4 linked regions of the Drosophila melanogaster genome follow. The gene in region 1 interacts genetically with each later gene. Each region holds a gene or a part of one and is shown in the gene's direction. Other genes may lie near its edges.

Evidence for each region.
Region 2: of tkv (region 1) and brk, changing one suppresses a phenotype caused by changing the other (phenotypic suppression), as found in Drosophila melanogaster (2 studies listed by BioGRID).
Region 3: of tkv (region 1) and Snoo, changing one suppresses a phenotype caused by changing the other (phenotypic suppression), as found in Drosophila melanogaster (3 studies listed by BioGRID).
Region 4: of tkv (region 1) and Mad, changing one suppresses a phenotype caused by changing the other (phenotypic suppression), as found in Drosophila melanogaster (3 studies listed by BioGRID).

What each region holds. Positions count from the first base shown.
Region 1 is NT_033779.5:5,241,094-5,245,856, reverse strand, and holds the start of tkv (thickveins), read left to right. Parts: upstream 1-1,717; 5' UTR 1,718-1,781; coding exon 1,782-1,875; exon of another isoform or gene 1,876-3,158; intron 3,159-3,236; exon of another isoform or gene 3,237-3,638; intron 3,639-4,350; coding exon 4,351-4,488; intron 4,489-4,679; exon of another isoform or gene 4,680-4,751; intron 4,752-4,763.
Region 2 is NC_004354.4:7,306,004-7,311,650, forward strand, and holds brk (brinker), read left to right. Parts: upstream 1-1,935; 5' UTR 1,936-2,469; coding exon 2,470-4,584; 3' UTR 4,585-5,129; downstream 5,130-5,647.
Region 3 is NT_033779.5:7,981,193-7,985,956, reverse strand, and holds the start of Snoo (Sno oncogene), read left to right. Parts: upstream 1-1,760; 5' UTR 1,761-1,826; exon of another isoform or gene 1,827-2,011; intron 2,012-4,764. Other genes in the region: CG7231 (uncharacterized protein), read right to left, coding at 1-123, 189-404, 1,147-1,189.
Region 4 is NT_033779.5:3,146,736-3,154,434, reverse strand, and holds the start of Mad (mothers against dpp), read left to right. Parts: upstream 1-1,681; 5' UTR 1,682-2,002; coding exon 2,003-2,006; intron 2,007-5,155; coding exon 5,156-5,631; intron 5,632-5,697; coding exon 5,698-6,388; intron 6,389-6,609; coding exon 6,610-7,016; 3' UTR 7,017-7,699.

The sequences.
Region 1 (4,763 bases):
ACTGCGAGAAATTATTATGGAATTGTATAAGTGGTAGGGAAGTTCCATCATATAAAACAAGTGCATATGGCACGTTAAATGCAAGTCGAAAATTGATTTTTTAAAGTGTGTATGAAATGAGGCCCAGCTGCAATCAGCGGGCCAACTTGTTGTAAACAAATTGAAGTGGCACTCAGTGATCCCCTGCTCCGCCGCTCTTCTTCTTGTGTTGGCCATTACCAATTGCACTCGGGTTCAACCCTTACCCTCGACCATTCCCCATACCCAATTCCCTGGGGATCGAATTGGATGGGATTGTATGGACGGAGTGGTATAGGATGGTATGGCATGGGGACGTGCCTTCATTAGGCCATGCAGAGCGCGTAGGCAGAATGTGTAAACACACATCGATTTCCATTCCGAATGCGTCTCGTGTGCTATGCGTAATTTTAATTGATTTCATTTACGCATTTTTGACTAATGTTCACACGCCGATGCATCGGACTGGCGGGGGGTGCAGCTCATTTAGCATGGACTCGGCGCGTTGATGGACAGAATCCAACTCCAAATGGCTGCATCGGGGAATTTATTTTTGGCCCTATCGTCCCACTCTCGCATCCGCCGTTCGCCTGGTTTTCCCCACCCAGAAAAAAAAAAACCCAAAATCTGTAACATAAATTTCACTTTGATCTATTTTTGAGTGGCCAATGCAAGTTTGCTAAATTCTGTTCAGCAGAAGGAATATTTAAAATTTTTAATTGCTACTAGAGTGCGCGCACTCAGCGGCGACGACCCAGTTTCAAAACATCTTTGCTGGCCAGAATCTCGACTGGGTTAGGGGATTTCTAATGGTGGTGAAAAGGAGGGAGCACTAATCTCTAGATAGCATTTTTATGTTACGAAATATACAGTTTTACTCTAATTAATGTGTGTGACACATACTATTTTTAGCCATCTTCATGCATAAGCATCTTATAAAACAGCAAAAACATGGTATTACATGTAGGAAATGTGATTCACTTTCGCTAAACACAACTTTAAACGCACCCCCACTTTGCTAATTGCCCATTTTGGCTATCGTAACTCCTATTTTACTTCACTTTTGATTGCCTTGGGGTTTTCTTCCCCATTCTGCCATCAATCTCCAAGTTGACATCCCAACCACGAGCGATTTGGAAAGAAACGTGTGACTTACCGAACGATAAACTGAAAGTAAACCTCCAAGTTGCCTGGGCCATCAATCAATCAGTCACTTAATATGAATATGAAAATATGAACCCGAACCCACAACAAATGCAATGTGGGTTTATCTGGCGTACATTCGCCATTCATTATTCATTGTGTGTTTTTCCTCTCGCCAGCCAAGTTTTCTTATCTCAGGCAACAATGTTGGCCGCGTTTTTCTTTGGGCCACTGTAAGTGCAACTTGAAAGGCGATTTTTAGGCCATTTTTGCAGTAAATGTAGCAGTACTTGAAGCATTTTGTAGTTGGACAAGGTTCAATGAGCAGGCAAACCGCTGAAAAGCCCAGTTACCCAGACCACACCCAATTGATTTTCACTCACTGACCATCTGAGAGATGCGTTTATGACACCAATCGACTTGAAATTTAAACAAGCAATATTTTAGATACATAAGCATGCCTTGACTTTACAATCAGTTGTTTTATATATTTTGCTTGTAACACACTTTTGATAACATGAAGAAAATTTACTGTGTGAAAAATTGTGAAAAACTTATTTAATGTATGGTTCGTATAAGGTGCCGTCCTAGTGCTTCTTGCGACCCTGGCAGAGAGATTGATGCGCCTTCAGCTGGTGGCCCTTGAACTCCAGGCCACATCTGGGACAGCCGACGGTCTGTTTGAAGAGATTGCACTAGAGGCGCTGACGCGGAGTAAGTTCGTCCTCGCTGGACAGCAGAGTAGTCGAGTTGCTGTTCAGCTCTGTGTAACCGGAGCTGCGAAGAATTCGCTTTGATGAATTTGATTTCGATTTGGTGCAGCGTGATGTGGAAGATCCCGAGGAGGAGAAACGGGTGTCCAAGTCCTTTGAAGTAAACGATGGCGGTTCCAAGCACACCATAATGGTACCGCGCTTCATTTTCTCAAAGCAAATGGGACAAGATACGATGTCGTTGTTGAGCAAGTGGGCTGCACGGTGTTCTTACGCTGCAAGTCTTTCATCAGGATGTCTTCTCCAAAAACATCGTCAATAATGGATTGATCAGCTAGTTCCGTGGCGGCTGTTAAACTGTCATTTGCCGGCCGCCTCATAATCGATTGAAAGGGTATTGACCTCGCACAAGGTCAATTCATCCTCCATTATCTAGCGCTTGATGTTCTGCGTGCGCTCCTGACTGCTCATGGTGTTCCTGCAAGCTGGCATCTTTAGCTCATCCTTTGACTGCGCTGCTTCTGTTCATCAATTTTCTTCATTTTATGTTATTAAAAAATATGTTACTATATGGAAGTGTTTGAATTTACATTAGAATAGCCTACTATGTTTTCGACCTAGTGTCATAGAGGCCTAACATTTTTGCCATTTGGCTGGGAGCCATTCAATTCGTTTGCCATGCAGTCGGCATTTGCTTTTATTTCTACGTAATTGCGAATCTTTTGAAGCGATGCGAACTATATCATCGCAGTACATTTTCCTACCCGTATGCATATTGATTGATAGCCAATTTGCACGTGCTCCACTTTGTGCCTGGGTTTTGCTTATTGTCGCCATGTTCTGCCCATACGAAATCAGTTCCCCTGGTCGCAGTTCTTTGGCTGCACCCACATGGATTGTCACGTTTGTGTTTTGTTTTGCTTTTGAGTTCTTGGAAATGTGTCGAACACAAGAGCCGCGAGTTTTCCACCCAGCAATTTGCAATCTTTGATAGATGGCTTATGTAACTGCCAGAGAGTGTAAGGCACAACACAACACAACACCAAAGTGGCGAAAATATTAGACGCGTCGGGGGAATTACGTCGTTTGGTCTGCGGGTTTCGAGTCGACAAGTGCAAGGCACTCAATCAATTAGCGATAGTCGATAGCCATAGACATGGGCTTTATCAATGCTTCGGTTAACTTCGTGGTTGCACTGGAAAATATTCGAAACTAAGAGGAGTTAGAAAGTCAAATTTTAGCAAGGCACTTTCAGCTAACAAATATTATATTGCTTCTTAAGTGTTGCAAAACTAAAAAATATCGCAAACCCCCTATCGATATCATTGAACTTTTTTTTTATTAATAATGTTTTTATTACTGTGTATAGCGGTTTCCCATAATTTACACCACTCATGTTACGCTAAAGTTTTATTGAGTTCCATTAATTTACGACTTTCTATGGTCGTAATTAAGATTATCCTTTGCTCGCGCTCCGCAATTGCCGCCGATTTTCCATGAATGGCAGCTTTTTATCGGACCTGCACTCGCATAATTCATTTTATCATTTTGACAGATTCGGAATGGAATAGCGACTTTCCTCGCCCACCCAACACGCGTACGAGATTTCAATTGCCCGTCGAGTGGCACACATATATTATACCAGCTCTCGAAATGAGACGCATCATAAATAATAACTAATGTTTTGATAAGACCCCAATGAGCGCCAACCACTTTTTCTGTTTATCAAATTACGTATGAAGTTTGCTCATTAATTTTGGCAAAGTGAGTGTAGGGGAAACATGGGTAGTGTAGCACACAGAAACCCCTGCAGGAGGCCTAACCCCTTTCGCTGAGATTGGGTCTGAGTCGCTTCCGCTGATTTGCACTGAAAGTTGCACAGTGGGGTTTTTGCACCTCGGTTTTGTATCTCGAGAAAGGGGGATTTCTTGGTCTTCAAGTCGCGCTCATTGCGTGGGCTTTGAGCCGTCGAGGAACGTCATCCTCCAAGTCTGTGGCGTGCAGACGACAGAACTAGACGTAATCTCGGCGAGCTGTCAAACAGTATCTTAAAGATGCCTCTCCGACTACTTGGCTGGCAACTGGTTCTGAACGCAGCCGTCTGCGGAGAGGCACTAAATTCTGCGGCCTTTTGACCAAGTTTATGACACACGTTTAGCTGTCTAGTTGGCCCACGCTCATCCGCTTTCAGCAGGAAGAGAGTTGAAGTTGCCCATTCTCCGTTGGTGCGACTCCCCTTTTCCTCTCCATCGCCCCTATGTGTTTCTATTTTCAATTAAGATCTCGTATTTCAGGCGCCCGACAAACGGGCAATTGTTGTTGTTAAATTATTAATTGACATTTGCCTGGCGCCACAGAAGAGCAACTCAAGTGCCAAGACTCCCACCCGCTCTCCCTTTTTTTGTTTACAAATTAGTTACACAGTTTTTCAATTTACTTATATTTCGTATTGCCCGTTTTTCTGTTTGCCCCGTAGGTGAATTCAGTGCGAATGTTCAGCCAGACGTCGAAGCTATGGCCGCCGCCGCTTTGAGTGGCATGGAAATGGGATCTGGACCAGGATCAGAGGGATATGAGGATGCCGACAACGAGAAAAGCAAGACCGTGGAAAATGGTGAGTCTACCATCTTAATAAAATGATTTAAAAAAGCGTGTTATAAATCAGCATCGAATATTTTGCATATCTTATCTTATTTTATCTTATATATAATATTAGTTCGGATTAATATAACTTATGATCATAACACTCGGATGTATAGATCAACAGCAAGTTTATATTTTGAATTTGGCGACCTAAGTTCAACATCCTCGATAGTATAGTGGTTAGTATCCCCGCCTGTCACGCGGGAGACCGGGGTTCAATTCCCCGTCGGGGAGATGTGTAAATAA
Region 2 (5,647 bases), on another chromosome or scaffold:
ACGCGCAAATTGATGCTCAACAACAACACCATATATTTGATTTGTTTTATGTCATTTTTTCTATTTTTATTTTCATAAATTTGCATACACACGCAAGCGAAGCAGCCCACTGTCTCCGACAAAAAAAAATCACGCACACACAGAACCACACACGCATGCAAATAGCGAAAGAGAGCGAGGTGTCTGCGGCAGTGTGTGTGTGTGTTTCATTCATGAATCCAGATTTTGCCGAGGCAGGAGAACAGAAGAAGCAGAGTAAGCTGGTAACGAAGCAGAGGCAGCATTTCGGTTTGTCATTTGCAACAAGTGCGGAGAGGTTCTCTTGTACACATATTGTTGCTGCACTTATTGCATGCCCTTTTAGTTCTTTTTCGTTGCATTGTTTTATTTTTTCAATTTTTCTAAGCTTAGACAGAACGGCGGCAACGTCGACAGAAATAAGCTAAAGCTATATGGTATATATGCACCCACGGCCATAACAACGAGTAAAAAAAAAACCAAGATAGTTGGAAACCTCTGTGTTCGTCTGGCTCTATGTGTGTGTAAAAATATAAAAAATGCAGCAATGCATTCAACAGTTGATTCAAGAGAGAGCAAAAGGAAGAGAGAGAGCGGGCGGTTTGGTTGGCGAGAGAGCGGCGCTCAACAAGTTCGTTCGACGATCTGTTGCGCGGTTTCTACGGATGTGTGTGTGTATGCTGACGGGGGACGTGGGCACAGGGGTGTGGGTCAAAAGGGGTGGGGGGCTCTGGCCGATGTGGAAGGGGTATGGGGGAGGGCGGCGTGTGGAGTGGCAGTGCCAGAATGTCTGGCAGCCACGACTCTGGCGCACACACGCACACCATTCAAAGGTGCCTTTTGCACACGTGTGTGTGCGTGTGTGTATCTGTATGAGCAACTGGCAGAGCCAGCGAATTTGTAGCGCAGCCAGAAACAACAACACAACGCAACACGGCAACAGCAACCGCAGCCGCTAACAAACTGTGCTGCGACACAGTGGCACAAAAAGCTGCCAGCAAAGGGTTAAGTGTGGGCCTACTAATACATGTAAAAAACTAATTTTTGTAAACAGAATTTAAAAATGGTTTCCAAGTAGTGCGAACATTTGTCGACTTTGGGTTTATGTTTAAAACAATAATCTGTTGTTGGCAGATAGCTAACAATGTTTTAGAGATAGAAGAATTTGAAACGCGTTTCACTTATTGACTCGATGGCCTATAAATTGATAAAGGGTTTTTTAATTATTAAAGAAGAAGAAAATGTGTTATATTATCTCGCTGTTAAAAATGTTATCTTTTGATTTGTTCTATTCCATGTTTTTAGGTATCATATAATATTTTTTTTATTTTTTATATAAAAAAAAGCCATACGAATTGGTCCCACTGTGCGGTTCGCGGTGTTTGTCAGTTAGTCAGTCAGTCGGGTGACTGTGGCAATCGAAAAGAGTGGACAAAGACTGTGGCGCACAGGGACGGGGGAATGGGTTGCTCCGTCCCATGTTGTCCATTCGGTCCCACCGTGCACACAACTCAGCACAGCACGGCACAGCAGCAACAAAAGCGCCGCAAAAGGGAACTGGTATTATGGCATCCCGCTCGCACTTGCACTCCAAGCACGCACACATGCAAGCGCAGACACCTCGCGACACGATTGTCGTCAGTTTGTCTGCAATGCTCAGCTTCAGCGCCATGCGCTCTCTCTCTGTTGCTCGCTCTCTAGCTCCCCCTCTCACTCTCTCTCCCACTGCTGCACGCACACGAACACCCACACGAACAGCAGCAACAACAACAGCAGCGCACAGCAGACAGGCAGGCACTTTACGCCTGTGTGCGTGAGCATTTCAGAGTGAACCGCAGTCGACGGCGGCGCCGGCAGCGACGCCGGCCGAGGCGAGGCAGTCTAGAACGTATCTTCGAACTAGAACGCCGAGGGCAGAACAATTGTGTTTTGGATTCCTTGCCGTGCGGATCGCAAACGCGAGTTATGAGAAGAGCGTAGTAAAACGTACGAGAAGTAGCTAACAAGAAAAGGAAAAGAGCAGAAGAAGCAACAGCACGCAGACATATATTTTTTTTAACTGTGTTTTATTTATCCGATCTATACCAATCGAAATATACACAACTATATAGATTTGAAACGGATTTTGAAAAGTGCTTTCAAATAAACTCCAAAAAGTATCAGAGCGAGTGTGTGCCAGTGTGTGTATGTGAGACGCGTCGCAGTCGACGTCGCTGCTTTGGGGACAGAGCTGCCAGATCGCGAGTTATGAAAGCGCAAGCGTCGCACGCAAGTAGCAACAACAGCTACAACAAAAGCACCTAAAACTTACTACCTACTACTACTGCAAAACACACTTGTTTGACTATTATTTCGCTACATTAAAATCAACAAAAATACACACAAAACTGACCAGAATCTTGGGAAAATAAAAACAATCTTTAAAGAACGCCACGAAAATAAACCATAATCATGGATAGCAGCAGCGAACAGTTGAACGGATCGGGAGCTTTGAATTTCAAGCGGCCCAAGGATTCTTCGGAGAATGCCACAAACAGCCACACAAATAATGGCAATTCTTCGGGCAGCCCCAAAATGGGAAGTCGTCGGATTTTCACGCCCCACTTTAAGCTGCAAGTCCTCGAATCATACAGGAATGATAATGATTGCAAGGGCAATCAACGGGCCACGGCCAGGAAATACAACATTCACCGCCGGCAAATCCAAAAATGGTTGCAATGCGAGTCAAATTTGCGATCATCGGTGGCCAACAATCAGCAACAGCAGCAGCAGCAGCAACAGCAACAGCAGCAACAACAGCAGCAGCAGCAACTACTCCCACAGCAATCGGTATCGCCGACACCGGCGGTCAAGGTGTTCCATCAGCTGAGCCATCCGCTGGTGCACCAGTTGCATCACCATCACGCCGCCGCGGTGGGTCATCATCATCATCATGCCGCCCACCATCATGCCGCCCATCATCATCACGCTGCAGCAGCAGCGGCGGCAGCAGCAGCGGCAGCAGCAGCAGCAGCAGCCCACCATCATGCCGCCCACCATTTGCTGGCAGCCAATGGCATGGTTCCACACCCCCTGGCCGCCCATCCCCACTTGCATGTCCCGGTGGCAATGCATCCTCAAATGCAGCATCAGAAGGAGCAACAGCAGCAGCAGCAGCAGTTGCAGCAGGAGCAGCAGCAACAGGATCAGCAGCAGTCACAGCAGGAGACACCTGCAACCATTGCTACCAATGGCAGCAATCAGGGATCCTCGAATGTCCTTTCGGCGGCCAAAATAGCCGCTGTTGTTGCCGCCGCCATGGCCACCAGCAATGGCAATCCCACACCGACAGCAACAATCCCCGCCAGCAGCAGCAGCAGCAGCAACACATTGCCGAGCAGCAATAACAGTAGTTGCCACAACAGCAGCAGCAGCAGCAATAGCTGCAACAGCAACCAAGTGCCAATACAAGTGCCAATCCTGAGCGGATCCCCTGGGTCCACATCGTCAGCCAGTCACATTCCACATGTGCCCTTTGCCTACCATCACAATCTGCATGGCTATTTGGAGAATCGACTGGAGGCGGTTGCCACACCAGCCCCCATGGACCTCTCTCTCGGATCCTCTGCCCGCCGTCAAATGCAGTTGCACGAAAAGGATCCATCTGGTGTGGATCTCACTTTCCGCAAACGTAAGGTCATCACTAGTCCGATGCAGCCGGATAAGATTAGTAAGCTGGAGGAGGTGATCAAGAAGGAGCCCGAAACGGAAACGGAGAACGAGGATGTGGAGGTGGACGTGGAGACGGAGCAGCCGGAGGAGCACAAGCTGCCCTCTAAACAGGTCAAGCTATTTAAGCCCTATTTGCTGGACGATGATGAGGAGCAGGATCATCATCATCATCACCATCACCATCGGCAGGAGGATTTGGATGAGGGAGCTGCCGAGGAGGAGCAGGACGACGAGGAAGAGTCCCGCTATGCCGACGATGATGAGGTGGACTCCAAGGAGGCGGCCGACAAGAAACAGCGTCGCCTCAAGAAAAAGCCATCGGCAATCAACGAACAAAGGGAACCCATCATCTGGAGCAACCATCCGTATCCCGGTGGCTGTGTATCGCCCGGCAGTTCGATCACCAGCAGCTTTCAGTGCCCCACCAGTATGCAACAGCAGCAGACATTTCCCGTCGCCGGCGGGAGTCCTAATCAGCAATTTCAGGACAACTGCAGCTCCAGCAAAGCCACCACGCCCCTCAGCCCATTCTCGGCGCCCGCCCTCTCGCCCACCGGCTTCTGTTGCCCCAAAGGATCGCCCGTTTCCGGTTACGAGAGCAGCTCATCCACCTACAGCGACAGCGGCAGCAACTACAGCCTCAATCTCCAGCTGCATGCCGTCTACAACGACAATCTGATGTACATGCAACAGCAGCAGCAGCAGCAGCAACAGCAGCATCACCTGCAACATCAGCAGCACCTGCAGCGCTGGCTGGATCAGGAGTCCTTGGCCACTGCGAGGACATCATCCGTCAACCGACCACTGATTCTCGTGGCGGATACTGCGCCCACAAACCTGACCCTGGTGGCCTAAGAACACACACACACACACACACACACACACACACAACAAACAACACACACAATAGAAACTAAGGAAGCAGCAATCCCACCAATCGGATGTTATAATGGCAGTCACTGGGCCTGGCCTTTTAGTTCCCTAAGCCATATTTAAGCTTAATAACGTTTTTTTTAGCCCTACCACCTAAGTTTACCTTAATAAAAAATTGTATATCTAAGCGCAAACATATATCTTCCAAGCATATCAGCAAAAAAAACCCCAAACCCTAGGTATAAACCCTTCTTTTTTTTTTGGTTACACACTAAGAACAAATTAAGCTTAAGTTCAGATTTTTCTTTTTTTTTTTCTTGTATTAGCTTGTGTAAATAATTGTGTACAAAAAGTGAAACAAGGCGAAACAATTGAATTTGCTTAAGAATTTCAACGCTTCATTTCATTTGTATAACTTGTGGGAGAGTATTTTAAGAGAGAAAATGTGAAAAATGCAACTGGAAAAACTGAGAAAATTGTTAAGAGTAAAGCTTTAAAAACGAAACAAATACACACCTTTACAATACACACTTTTTTTATTTGGAAATTGAAAATTGAAAATTCTTGTGATATGACAACAACAAAACAAAATTTTAATAAAATTGTTGAAAACTGAAGCTTATTGAATATACAGCTATATTATACATAAATATATATTTACAAACACAAAAGAGAGCAAGAAATTTAACGTAATATTAAGGGTTACATTTAAAAGTTAATTATAATGATATACAATATACATATATACAATATATTTATATACAAACAAGAGGAGAACGTTTTTTTTTTTTTTTCATTGCCAAGGGAAATATTAAATGCGCCTATACATAGAGAAAGAGATATATATATCTAAATGTATGTATATATATAAAATCAGTATTTTTATATATTACATTTGACAACAACAATAATAATAATAATAATTGTGTGACCATACAACAAACAAACAACAAAATCAAAAGGAAAACGAATTGATTAAATTAACAACAGAAAACTAAAAAAACTTTAAATTAAACTGGTTTTATCATTGCATTTGCGTTGGGTT
Region 3 (4,764 bases), 2.7 Mb from region 1:
TGAGAAATTCCGACAGCGTAAGATCAGAGACATTGGCCGGCGGATGGGCCATTATGGGCATGTCCTCGCCATCGCCATTCAGTTTGCCCAGCACAATGTCCGCTTCGATGAAGTCAATGCCACCTTGGGCAGGGAAATGATACTATTGATAAGTTGGTTACACGCGCATATTTGGCCAATGATCTTACTGGTTTCGGTTAGGACCTCGTCCAGCAATTGCTGGCTGTTGACGGCATGGGCCCAGGTAATGGCAGTGAGATTTGTGCCCCATACCTTCATCATATCCGACTGTTTGAGGAATATATATTCGATCTGGGAATCGTCTGGCGCTGTCTGCTCGACCACCACTTGGTACTGATAATTGCTGGCGTTCAGAGCAGACCCATTGATTTTGGCCACGAGCACTGCGAGTGGACGTGAAATAGACGGCATTAATATTCCACAATTGGACAATGGGACGCACAGAGGGCATAATATGGCAGATACGCGTAGATAAGCCCATTTGCCTTCCTTACCACCCTACCAGCGAGAATTGATACGCAAACACATGCAATCCAATCCAATGTGAATTTGTTTACTTCGCAATGAGCGTGTACATATGTATGTGTGCGCGAATGGACTCTAATTAACTCCCTTTGTTATGCGATTTTTATGGAATGCAAAGCGCGTTGTGCCCTTCTTCCGCTTTCACCGAATGCTGCAATGCAACTGCACATCAATAATTCTCTTCAATCTGTCAGCTGTGCAATGGCGCAAGCGTAGAGAGCAGACGTGAAGTGAGAATGGCGAGAAATGTGCTTAACTTCAAGAGACCGACGCTCATATACCCTAGCTCTAAGAGTTTACATGACAACTTATTGACAAAAAATAACAAAATGTTGCTATTTTACGTTTTACCCCCTTTTTGCGATTGTGTAAATGTATTATCAAGTAATGTTACCCAACACACTCGTCAGATTTAAATGTTTTAATTGAGTACAGGAGCATCGACTATCAGATACCTGTTAGTTTTTTTAAGTTATGTCAAAACTAAACTGTCTGGATCCTAATGTTTCCAAGCGACCCAGGGGTCGTATGTACATGAGTTAAAAACATTAAAAAATGATGATATGTAATGATTTTGAAAAGTGCAAAAATACGAATTACCAAATAGTAGCGTTGTAAGTAGAAAGGTAATTTTTGAGTCCATTTTTTCTATAGGTCTAAGGGCACTTGATCATGAACTTGGGACCGCCACGGTTAGAAACGAACTAAATGGCAATTTTTCAGTTTGGCTTATCGATAGCATTTGCTGATTTAATTAAACATTGATTAAGTATTGTAAATTGGTAGTGACAATCTATCCGCATATCCCAAAATCTAATCTTTTAAGTGGTCACGTTATCCGATGAACTCGCGGACTAGTTAAACTAGTTACTACATTATAAAGAAGAAAGAACAAACAAACGTTTTTATGGAAATTATTACCACACATCTTGTAAAATCATATATTTCATTAAGTACGATTTACATTTATTTGCTTATTAAAAGATAAAATGTTATTTAAATAAGTTTAGACCGCGGTCTCTGTTAGAAAAGCGTTGCATTTTAACATTTCTGTTAAATGAGCAGCAGTAATAGAAGAGAAAACGTAAGAGAGCGGTTCAAAGAGCGGCACTAGAGTGACCATGCGGCGGTACACAAGAAATGCGGCCAATAAGCGAGAGCACAAACTTTACCGAAACGAGCGCTAGAAGAACTGGCCACACTACACCCCCGACACTCAGTTTTAGTTCGAAAATTTAACGGCTCTGGAACCGTTCGGACGTGTCGCTCTCGGTGCGCGTGTGTGTGAGTGGCGAATATAAATATCGGGGGAAAAGCTCGCACGTGCGACGCTTGCGAAAAAAAAAATTGAAAATATATAGTAAAATTGTTGTTTTATTTATGAGTCGAACTAATGTCCCGTCAGTTGACTAAGGACAACGCCAAGAAATAAAAAATAGTTTTAGGAGAAATAGTTTCACGACTTTATTCTTTGGATCTCAGCTTAAGACTAAAAATCAAATGCAAATTGGATTGAGGAGAAGCCTCAGTATTTGAACAATATTTGTATTTCGGGAGAGCCTCGCTCTTGGGTTCTTAAGATTAGGTAGCGTTGAAAGAGGGCAGTCAAATCTGCTTAGGTCAGGCTTTAGGATGTTTACAAGAACGGCTGCGCTGCCAAAGATAAACGAATGCTGCGCAGCTGGGATACGTTATGGAAAATTACTAGAGTGCATTACTGATTTCTTTGAAATAATGGAAGTGGCTGGTTTGGACCACCCAAATACGTCACTCCCCTTCCCTTAAAGAGAAGCCTATACTTGGGCTGGGATTGATGGATATAGTGTGGGAAATGGAGTTTCTTCTATTTCTGTTTGTTGTGGTGTGTTTTGATTTTGATTTTTTCTTATTTTAAGTTTTGCATACAGCATCATAAATGGTTTAAATGATACATATCTTAAATATGAGTACAACAAAATTAGTGCGATTATTACAATGATCATTTGTATGTAAAGTGTAATATTGTTCTCTGAAATCATCTCAACAATGTCGTTGTGTTTTACAATTTTTATTTTTGTTATATTAAGTGGTGTGTATAGTGATGTCAAATCTATTTCTGGTTCTAACAGATTTTCACTTAAAATTATATTATTGATTTCTATTTTGCATTGCGTTACTCTTATCATTTTGTTTCCTTCTATTTTTATTTTATTAATTGAATTTTGGCAATTTTGGTTAAGAATTGTTTGGGTTAAGTTCCAGGTTACAATTGTGTTTGGTTCTATGTATTTTATTATTTCGTTCGTGTGTACTGGCTTAAAATTACAAATTGGATTTAAGTGTTTAATAATATTGGTGACACATTCATTTTTTACTTCTTTATTTTCGGTATTATAAACTTTATTTTCTTTTTCAAAATATGATTGTGTGTCTGTGTAATCTAGCTGATAGCCGTTGGAGTCTGGGTAAGGAATTATTTTAATTGTGCTTATTAGTGAAAGGTAAATGGGTATGTGGGATATGATTAATACTTGGTTATCATTGTAGTTAATCCAAGTGGATGTTTTAATGTTCAAAATGTTTTGGCTGTTCACATTTTCAAGTTTGTCGTAGTTTAGTAATTTGGGGTTAAACAGTCCAAGTCTGGAAAGCTGCATAGCCATTTCCAAATCTTCTATGTATTCCGTCATTTATCAATCGTATGGCGTCGTTGAGTTCATGTAATTTTACTGAGTTATGGACGTTGATTTCAAGTTTTTTCTGTATTTCGACTCGATCATTTTCATCTAGTGTTCCAAATAGGTATTTAAAACCTGAACCCACAATGTTAATAAGACCCCGTTTGTTTCTATGTTTCAGGGTTATTCCGGCTAGTTCTCTTTTTATTTTATTGTATAAAAAATTGATCTGGGGTGCATGGTAATCGGTTCGTAGTCTTTGCTCAAAATAGTCAACCACGATGTCTATTTCAGTTAAATTGATTTTTAAGGAGTGATGTTCAAAGGAGGATGGTATCTGTACTGGCTTATCAGAAAAAAGGAGGTATCCGTGGTTGGTGTCAATATTATTAATTTGAATTTGTTGTCCATGAACAGCTGTGATCAGTATAAACAATAGTGTTATCGGGTACCAGGTGCCTGTGAAATTGAGAGTTTATTATTTTTCTTTTGTTTTTTGAATTGTGTTTTGTAGTAGTGCGTAACTCTATTTCTATTAGTGATTTTGTAATGGTCAGGGTCTGTCTGTTCTACATTTTTGGTTGGTTTAAATGGGTTTTCTAATTTGCCTTTCTGTAGTGGACCTTTTCTGTAATTAGTGTCAATATTAAATTCCTGTCTGTCTTCATTTATTTTGTCTATTTTCTTCTCTTTAATTTTTTGAGTGTCTAATATGGGATGCCCAGCGTATAAGAAAATTTGAGCAGGTGTCTGTCCAGTAGTGTCATGTTTAATTTTATGGTTGTATGTGTAGAGGATTGTTTCTATCTTGCTTAATTTTACTTCTTCATCATCAGATGAATTGATTATACGAATTTTTTCATTTATTGTTTTGTGTAATCTTTCGACGTCTGCTACCCCGTTTTTTGCTGTATTGAGCTGTAATTCGACTTCTTCTTCTTCAAGCCATCGCTTTAAAGCTAAACTGGAGAAAGCTCCGTCTCTGTCTGCCTTTAATAATTTGGGTTTACCTAGTTGATTAAAAATGCGCATTAATGCGTTTCTGCATTCTATCCAATCCTTAGTTTTAATTTGCTCAAGTGTAGCGAATTTAGAATAAATATCAATGCAACTGATGTAATGTTTTCCCTCAGATGAATAAATATCTACTACAAATTTTTCTCGGCAATGTTCCGGGTTGGGTGTGATTTTTAAAGGCATTTTGGTGTTTCTATGTTCTGTTTTGGCCAAATTGCATATGTTGCATTCGTTTATTATATTCTGAATTAATAGTTGGCTATTTGGAAAGAAGTGATTTTCTTTAAATAATTTTGTCATTTTCTGTATACCAGGGTGTAAAAGTTTTTCATGTGATTGAAGTATGATTTCTTTGAATTCGGCGTATGAACCAACGTTCTTTAATAGGAAAAGACTGCGAATTACTTTTGTGTAGGTGGTATTAACAATTTCTATGTGTGCTCTTTGAATAATTTCAAAATCTACATCGCTCTCAATATAAATGGTAATGTTTCTATGGATAAAGTGATCGAGTAAAATTTGTTTGGCCTTTTCAAGTGTCATT
Region 4 (7,699 bases), 2.1 Mb from region 1:
CTTGCATACTACTCATAAATGTGCATCAATGTTCATAAACATTGAAATTATTTCAAATCAAGATGGAACTGAAAGCTATTTATTTGAAAGTAGTGTAGACCACCCACCACCGACTGGCAATTTTTTTCATTTTTGCGGAAAAGCGGTGGTGTCCCCGTGTTGACAGCTCAATTACTCACATGACACAAAGCCTCTGCGTGGCCCCCTGCAATTATCGCGGCAATTATTTGCAATTAGAATTGAGTTAATTTACTTAAAAAAGGATTTTCTGCCGTGCCTGCGCATTTTTGCCCCTTGACGTTTGCACTTCGGCACGTGTGTGTTTTGAGTTTTCCGCTTTTGTGCAATTTGCGTGCATAAATTTTTATTGTTCCAAAGGGACTACATAATTATTTTGTTATTTTTCGTCGTTTTCACTTCTGCTTTCGAGGAGAGTGCGCTTCATTACTATTTCGATTTTACTGCGACTGTATAATGCTACCCATGTTTGCAATAAGTTCGCGTTTAGTAGTGTTAAACACGCAATAAAAGCGAAGGGAGGGAGGAGCGATCGCACATAAACATGCTCGCATTCTAAGCACACGTACAGTCCGGGCCAAGAAAATAGGTTCGCTTGACTTCAATTCAAAAGATTTCGTAACGAAAAAACTTTAGTTTCGTTGCTTTACCCATTAAAAAAAATTGGCAGTGCATTTGCGAATAGAATTTCGATTTGTTTCCGCTTATTTTCGTACCGAAAACACTCTGCCGAAGGAGGGCTTCATCGAATTTTAGGTTCAATTACTCGCCGGTCCCACGCACGAAAAAATTCGTTGACGCTGCCTTCTCTTAAACTCCTCCCCTGAAACTACGTTCCCTTCATTTTTGTTGTGGTTGCGGTGGGGTGTTTACAGTTTGATTGTGGCTGTGGGTTGACGCCACCTCCAACACCACCAAAGGCCATGCACTGCAAACAAATTAGTGTGCATCTAAAAACAGCAATGTCTATTTAATTCGAAAAAGAGTTAAGTAAAAGAGTACTCAAATGTTAAATCTTAGTTCTTCAAGTAACATTGTTATTTGAAATACAAATGTTGCATATTTTTCTCGCCGTGTGATCTGCTGCACACAAACACGTTCGCGCTCACGTGCTGGCGCCCCCAACTGCAGATAGGGCATTTGATTTGTTTAAAACAAAACTTTCGTTGCCTGTATGGGTGTAGTGGTGTGCACTTGGCTGCCCCAAACGCACACTGAAACCAATTACGAGCACAGGAATACGAATACGAATACGTCACTCAGAGGTCTTCAGAAATCAGGGCTGCGGACTAGCTGGTGATAAAGAAGGGATTCAATAGGGATACATACACTAGATTTATACTCTCTTAGGGCTACAATAAGTACATTACTAAATAGATAAATATTAAGAAAATGGAATATAATAACTCAATTTTCCAGTCTTAAACTTATTAATAACTGTAGAAAGTAGTTTGTGTTACCTTTAGATACTTTAGGATGGACCTGCTGCTTCGCATCCCTGGCGAACTCACACCGATACACAATACGAATGCAGTTTGGGCTGCGTTCAGTTCGTCACTCACTCAGTCAGTCAGTTCGTCAGTCAGTCAGTCAGTCAGTCAGTCAATCAACACTCGGCGCACTCAGTTTGCTGGGCAACCCGTTCGGCATTCGTTGTCGATCGGTCGTGTCGTGCAGTTGACTTCTGATTCGCGCTCGCTGCCATTTCCACTTTGCGTAATTTACGGCGAAAATAAAAAATAATACGGCAAAAGGCTTAAATAAATGAAGTTATTACGGTGATAACGATTGAATTGAAGACTCGCAGCGGAAATGTAACTGCTGAGGCGACTGGATTGGATGCCCGATCGTCGTGGAGGGTCGCGTTTGCGATTTGCATACGAATAAAATAACATTTTGATGCTGAATTCTTGTCCGTGTGTGTGTGTGTGTTTGTGCGTGCAATAAAAATAAATAAAATAATATCTGCAATCTCAACATCATCATGTGTAGGTTCTTAGTTCGTACATAGTTCTCGTTTGCCTCGAGTTGCTCGATTTTTGAGTTTTCCTCCTCGCATCAAATCGAAACTTTGGCCTGTTTGGTTTTGGTCTTTATCGCGCTGCGTTTTTGTGTGTGCATTGTTTGTTTATTTTTAAACATGGGTCCAAGTCCCTATTTTCTCTGTCTGTTCGTTTTTTTCTTGTTGTTTTGTTGTTATTTTTGTGGCACTAGTCGTAGTACCCTTTACCACGCTTTTTGCCCGCTTTCAATGGCAGCGGAAGTGCTTCTGTACTTCTGTACTTGTGTACTTGCCATCCATCCACCTTGATTTCTACTTCTACCTGGCTCCCATGATTTACGCCTTATTGTCACTGCCGCATTTATGATTGATTATCGATTGGAATGGTATGATACGCATGCGCGAATGCGTGCCTGCCATAAAAGTGCCTCGATATCCTCGCTCCTCCGTTTCTCCAGTTGAGTTATGATCCCTGACTAGCGATGCACTGAAAAGAAACTCACAATGGAATCACTAACCAGAAGAATGTACACAGCCGATTTGAAATGCAATTCTTCAATTTAGTTACTCTAAATATAAGACTAAAAGTAGATTCACTTTAAACCAAGAACCATCAATTGAATTTGCTTTGAAAGCAATGAAGAACTTTCCTTCGAGTGTGGTTTTCTTGAAAGCAGAAAGAAGACTGGGCCACTTTGGGCGGGTACGTTGGGTACGTGATCTCAGCTCGGGTAATATGTAATTGCGAATTACGATTATTGATCTTTAATTGATATGGGGAATGTCCCATATGATAATGGATCATAAAGGACTTATTATATTTATATTTAGTATCGTTCAACTCGAGATGCATTGAGAGACAAAACAAGAAAATCGTTTAAGTGCCTAAAGAAAGCCACTTTGTTGTTTGGAAAACCATCAAATCTCCGAATAAACATCATAAATATGTTGAATATGTTGTTATGATCGTGTAAATAAAGTTTTTATGTAATTCCTGCGAATTAATGGGGTAGTTTCCCCTTTTGAAAACCGACTGATTATGTCGAAAACCTCACCTGCAATCGAGCTTTGCACAAACAAAACGGGGGCATTATCGAAATTTGTATGCCTGCCCCACTCAAATCAATCGAATTCCACTAGAGCACCATTGCCACCTAAAAACACACGACACTAGTCAGCTGGGTAAATACGTAGGGTAGAGTTCTCTATCTCCACTAACCCCCTCGATAAGTCTGTCCGCCAAGTGTCACTCCGTTTGTATCCTGAGTTACTGAGAAGGAGAGACCATGTGAACTGGTACTCCACTGTATGTTTAATTTTGGGATTAGTTATAAGCAAAGGTGTACCATTTTCGATAAGGTACCGATTGTTTGTTCGTAATCCTAATCTTTTGGAAGAGGTTTTTAAGCTAGTTTTGGTAATCAAAATGGTTGTGTGACTTATCATTAATTTCAATATATTCTTGTAGGCTAGTGATAAAGTTAGAGCATTCTTAGAGCAATATATCTACCGCCGGAGGCTCTGGTTGACTTTGGGCAATTAGAAAAGTGACTGCCCCCAACCACTGGTCCTCGTTGACCACGCCCCCTTCCATGGGCGACAACATAAAATTGTCAATGCTGCGAAAAAAAAAAGAAAACGGCAACGCCCCAAAATTTTTAGGCCCGAGTTGAGCGAGAAAATCGAAATTAATTCACGCAACGGCTAATTTGGCCAGAAATATGCGCCATTTGGTCTGTCGGGAGCCCAATCGAGAGGTGTTTTCTTGTTGTCCAAGTGCTGCACTTGTTGATTTATCGCCGGCATTTAATTGCTTTTGAAATTGGATTTACCAGCCCGTTTGCTTGCCACAAAAATGGGTGGTTCGCCTAGCAAGTTCGCCTTGTGTGGCTCGCCGATTTTTGCTCCAGCTTGCACAAATTAATTGCTACTACAAATTTTCATTCAATTAGGTTTTGTCACTTTTAAATTTAATCAAACATTTTTTGACACCTTGAGTAAAGCAACGAGATTGAGGCTAAGACAGCCAACTGGAGCGCAGCCACTTGGCCAACGGAGAGAAGTTCCTCAGAAATGCTGTTAACATTGAAATGTCATAATTCAAATGGAATTGTTGTCTTTGGTGGGGAAAAGTATGGAGGGGGGGGGGCGTAGAAAACAGGGGGGAATACCCACAATTGTGGCGCTGACAAGTCGAACACCATTTGGTTATCATTTGCGCTCATTATGAGATGCAGTTCTCGCCACTCGACTCGAATATTACTGCAGTACAGTGGAGCCTAACTAAATAGAATGAAGACAGTGGGTTTTTATTGCTATAGTTTAGTTTTTTCTGTTGATAAACCAATTTCTTAATGCCAATTTTCTAAGAATCGATAAGGCAGCCCGAAAACCAGCACATGAAACTATTATCTGTGCTTCATAAATTTACCTATTATTCATATATTTTTGCAGAATTGTTGTGTTCGAAAACTAATACTATTTATAACGTTGAAAAGTGCGAACTCTTTTCGTTCGCAACCTTTGTGGTTTTTTGGAATTCAAAGAACTGTCAGACCTCAAAAATACCCCCCTTACAATAGAATCGTTTCACAATTGACGTCAGCTGCGATTGAATACGAACAATAACCATATTTAATAGATAAAAATAAGTTTCCAACGAAATCGAGATTCGATTAATCAGCTAGTTGGTTAAGTGAAGCAATAATGGCCATTATTCTCAATGAGAAAATGTTGCAGGCAATTTGCATGCAATTGGCCGCCAACATTGAAAGTGGGAGGAGTCCGTTCATGACAGGAACCTCCCAACGACTTCATTCACTAGCCAGAAACACGATGCACTGCCAGGCCCCATGGATACTCACTCCTCCTCCAATTTCTGCTGGGCACTTGGCCAAGCGGGTAAAGACACTCGAAGAAAAAGGGTCACATAAGTTGCTGACTTCCCCTTTTGTTACGTATAAACATTTGCTTGAATTAGATGCAAAGTTTTCTATAACATTTCTCTCAGTGCATTCGAATTTTGCATGCGTTGTGTTGTGGGCGTTGCTGAGACAATCTAAGCTCGATGATGAATGCCTGCAATTCTATTTGTATTTATTATTTATATTTGCTTTTTACTTGCTCTTTTCACAGACTATCCGCCCGCTGATAGTTATACCGGTTATCGGGTGACTCCACCCCAAATCAACGGCGGCACCACCACCACCACCACCATCAGCAGCGGCAGCAGCAACAACAACAACATCCACCACATCAACAATAACAATAACCACATCTGCAGCAGTGGCAGCAGCAACAACCTCAATTTGACGACAGCAATCAGCGGCAGCAGCAACAGAATGGACACCGACGATGTGGAATCGAACACAAGCAGCGCGATGTCCACACTGGGCTCGCTATTCTCCTTCACATCGCCGGCGGTGAAGAAGCTGCTGGGCTGGAAACAGGGTGACGAAGAGGAGAAGTGGGCGGAGAAGGCCGTCGACAGTCTGGTGAAGAAGTTGAAGAAGCGCAAGGGCGCCATCGAGGAGCTGGAGCGTGCGCTCTCCTGTCCCGGTCAGCCCTCGAAGTGTGTCACCATTCCACGCTCGCTGGACGGACGATTACAGGTGGGTCACAAGCCACATGGCCAGCTAAGTAACAGATGATTATTAACTCCTATTTCCGAATATCAGGTCTCCCATCGCAAGGGTCTGCCGCATGTGATCTACTGCCGCGTGTGGCGCTGGCCAGATCTGCAGTCGCACCACGAACTGAAGCCACTCGAGCTGTGCCAGTATCCGTTCAGCGCCAAGCAGAAGGAGGTGTGCATCAATCCGTATCACTATAAGCGCGTGGAGAGTCCGGTGCTCCCGCCAGTACTCGTTCCTCGCCACTCGGAATTCGCGCCCGGTCACTCGATGCTGCAGTTCAACCATGTGGCCGAGCCCAGTATGCCGCACAATGTGAGCTACTCGAACAGTGGATTCAACTCGCACAGCTTGAGCACCAGCAACACATCGGTGGGCAGTCCGAGTTCCGTCAACTCCAATCCCAATTCGCCGTACGACAGCTTGGCGGGAACACCGCCACCCGCCTACAGTCCCTCGGAGGATGGCAACTCCAACAATCCGAACGACGGTGGCCAGCTGCTGGATGCTCAGATGGGCGATGTTGCCCAGGTTAGCTATTCGGAGCCCGCCTTCTGGGCGTCGATAGCCTACTACGAGCTAAATTGCCGCGTGGGCGAGGTGTTCCACTGCAACAACAACTCCGTGATCGTTGACGGTTTCACGAATCCTTCCAACAACTCGGACCGCTGCTGTCTCGGCCAGCTGAGCAACGTGAACAGGAATAGCACCATCGAGAACACACGCCGTCATATAGGTGAGTCGATTTTAGCACTTAAATTAACTTACTCACAGAGATTTCCCATCAGCAACTATCTTAAAGTGGTTAATAACTAAGATTACACATTGGTAATCTTAAATTAGAAAGCGACTTGTGTTTATCAGTTATAAAAATAGGCATTGAGTAGAGTAGAAAGCTATGGACTTCAAGAATCCAACTACCTGTCTTTTTAACTCAAAATGTTTCTTCTTCCCCAGGCAAGGGTGTTCATTTATACTATGTGACCGGCGAGGTCTACGCCGAATGCCTATCCGACTCCGCCATTTTCGTGCAGTCGCGCAACTGCAACTACCACCACGGATTCCATCCGAGCACCGTGTGCAAAATACCGCCGGGCTGCTCGCTGAAGATCTTCAACAATCAGGAATTTGCTCAGCTGCTGTCGCAGTCGGTGAACAATGGATTCGAGGCCGTCTACGAGCTGACAAAGATGTGCACGATCCGGATGTCGTTCGTGAAGGGCTGGGGTGCGGAGTATCATCGCCAGGATGTGACCTCGACGCCCTGTTGGATTGAAATCCATCTGCACGGGCCGCTCCAGTGGCTGGACAAGGTGCTCACCCAAATGGGCTCTCCGCATAATGCAATTAGTTCGGTATCCTAAGCTTAAGATGAGGCTCGAGTCCTCAATGGAGACGGAAGAGAAGGAACACAAAACCGGTAGCTAAATGATGAGTGCGTGTGAGTGAAAGCTAAGTGTGAAAAGACGTAGAGAACACAGGACAATGGAGAGAGCATAGGTCTGTAGGCCTGAGGATGGAGGTCCATGCCACTCAGTCGCAGATTTATATAGATGATGTACGGCAGCTACTCCAATACCCGCCCTTTGCCCATATTTTATAGTTTATCGTATGATTTTCTATGCGAATGTCATTCCTAACGCTAAAACAGAGTAATGAAAATGGACAGCGAGCTAAGAAACCAATTACAAAATGGTATAACTATTTACAATGATCTACATGCTATAATATTAATGATCTATGCCCATTGGCAAAACAGTTCTTGTTCAAGTCTATTTCAAGTGCTAATTATGTGTCATTGCAAAACTGCTTTAAATATAAAAACACATTGAATTAATCCTACCAACTTTAATTACATAAGGAACAAGTAACTTACGTAGGGATATGAAAACACTTATTGCAATACATTTCTTAAAATGATTTTGAAGAAGCCCTAGCTTATGTTTTATTTTTCTCATTTGCGGTTCGCCTTGGATCAACGAATTCAATGTTCAATATAGTTGATTTAAATATATATATGGTTTAACTAATTTTAAGTTGCAAACAA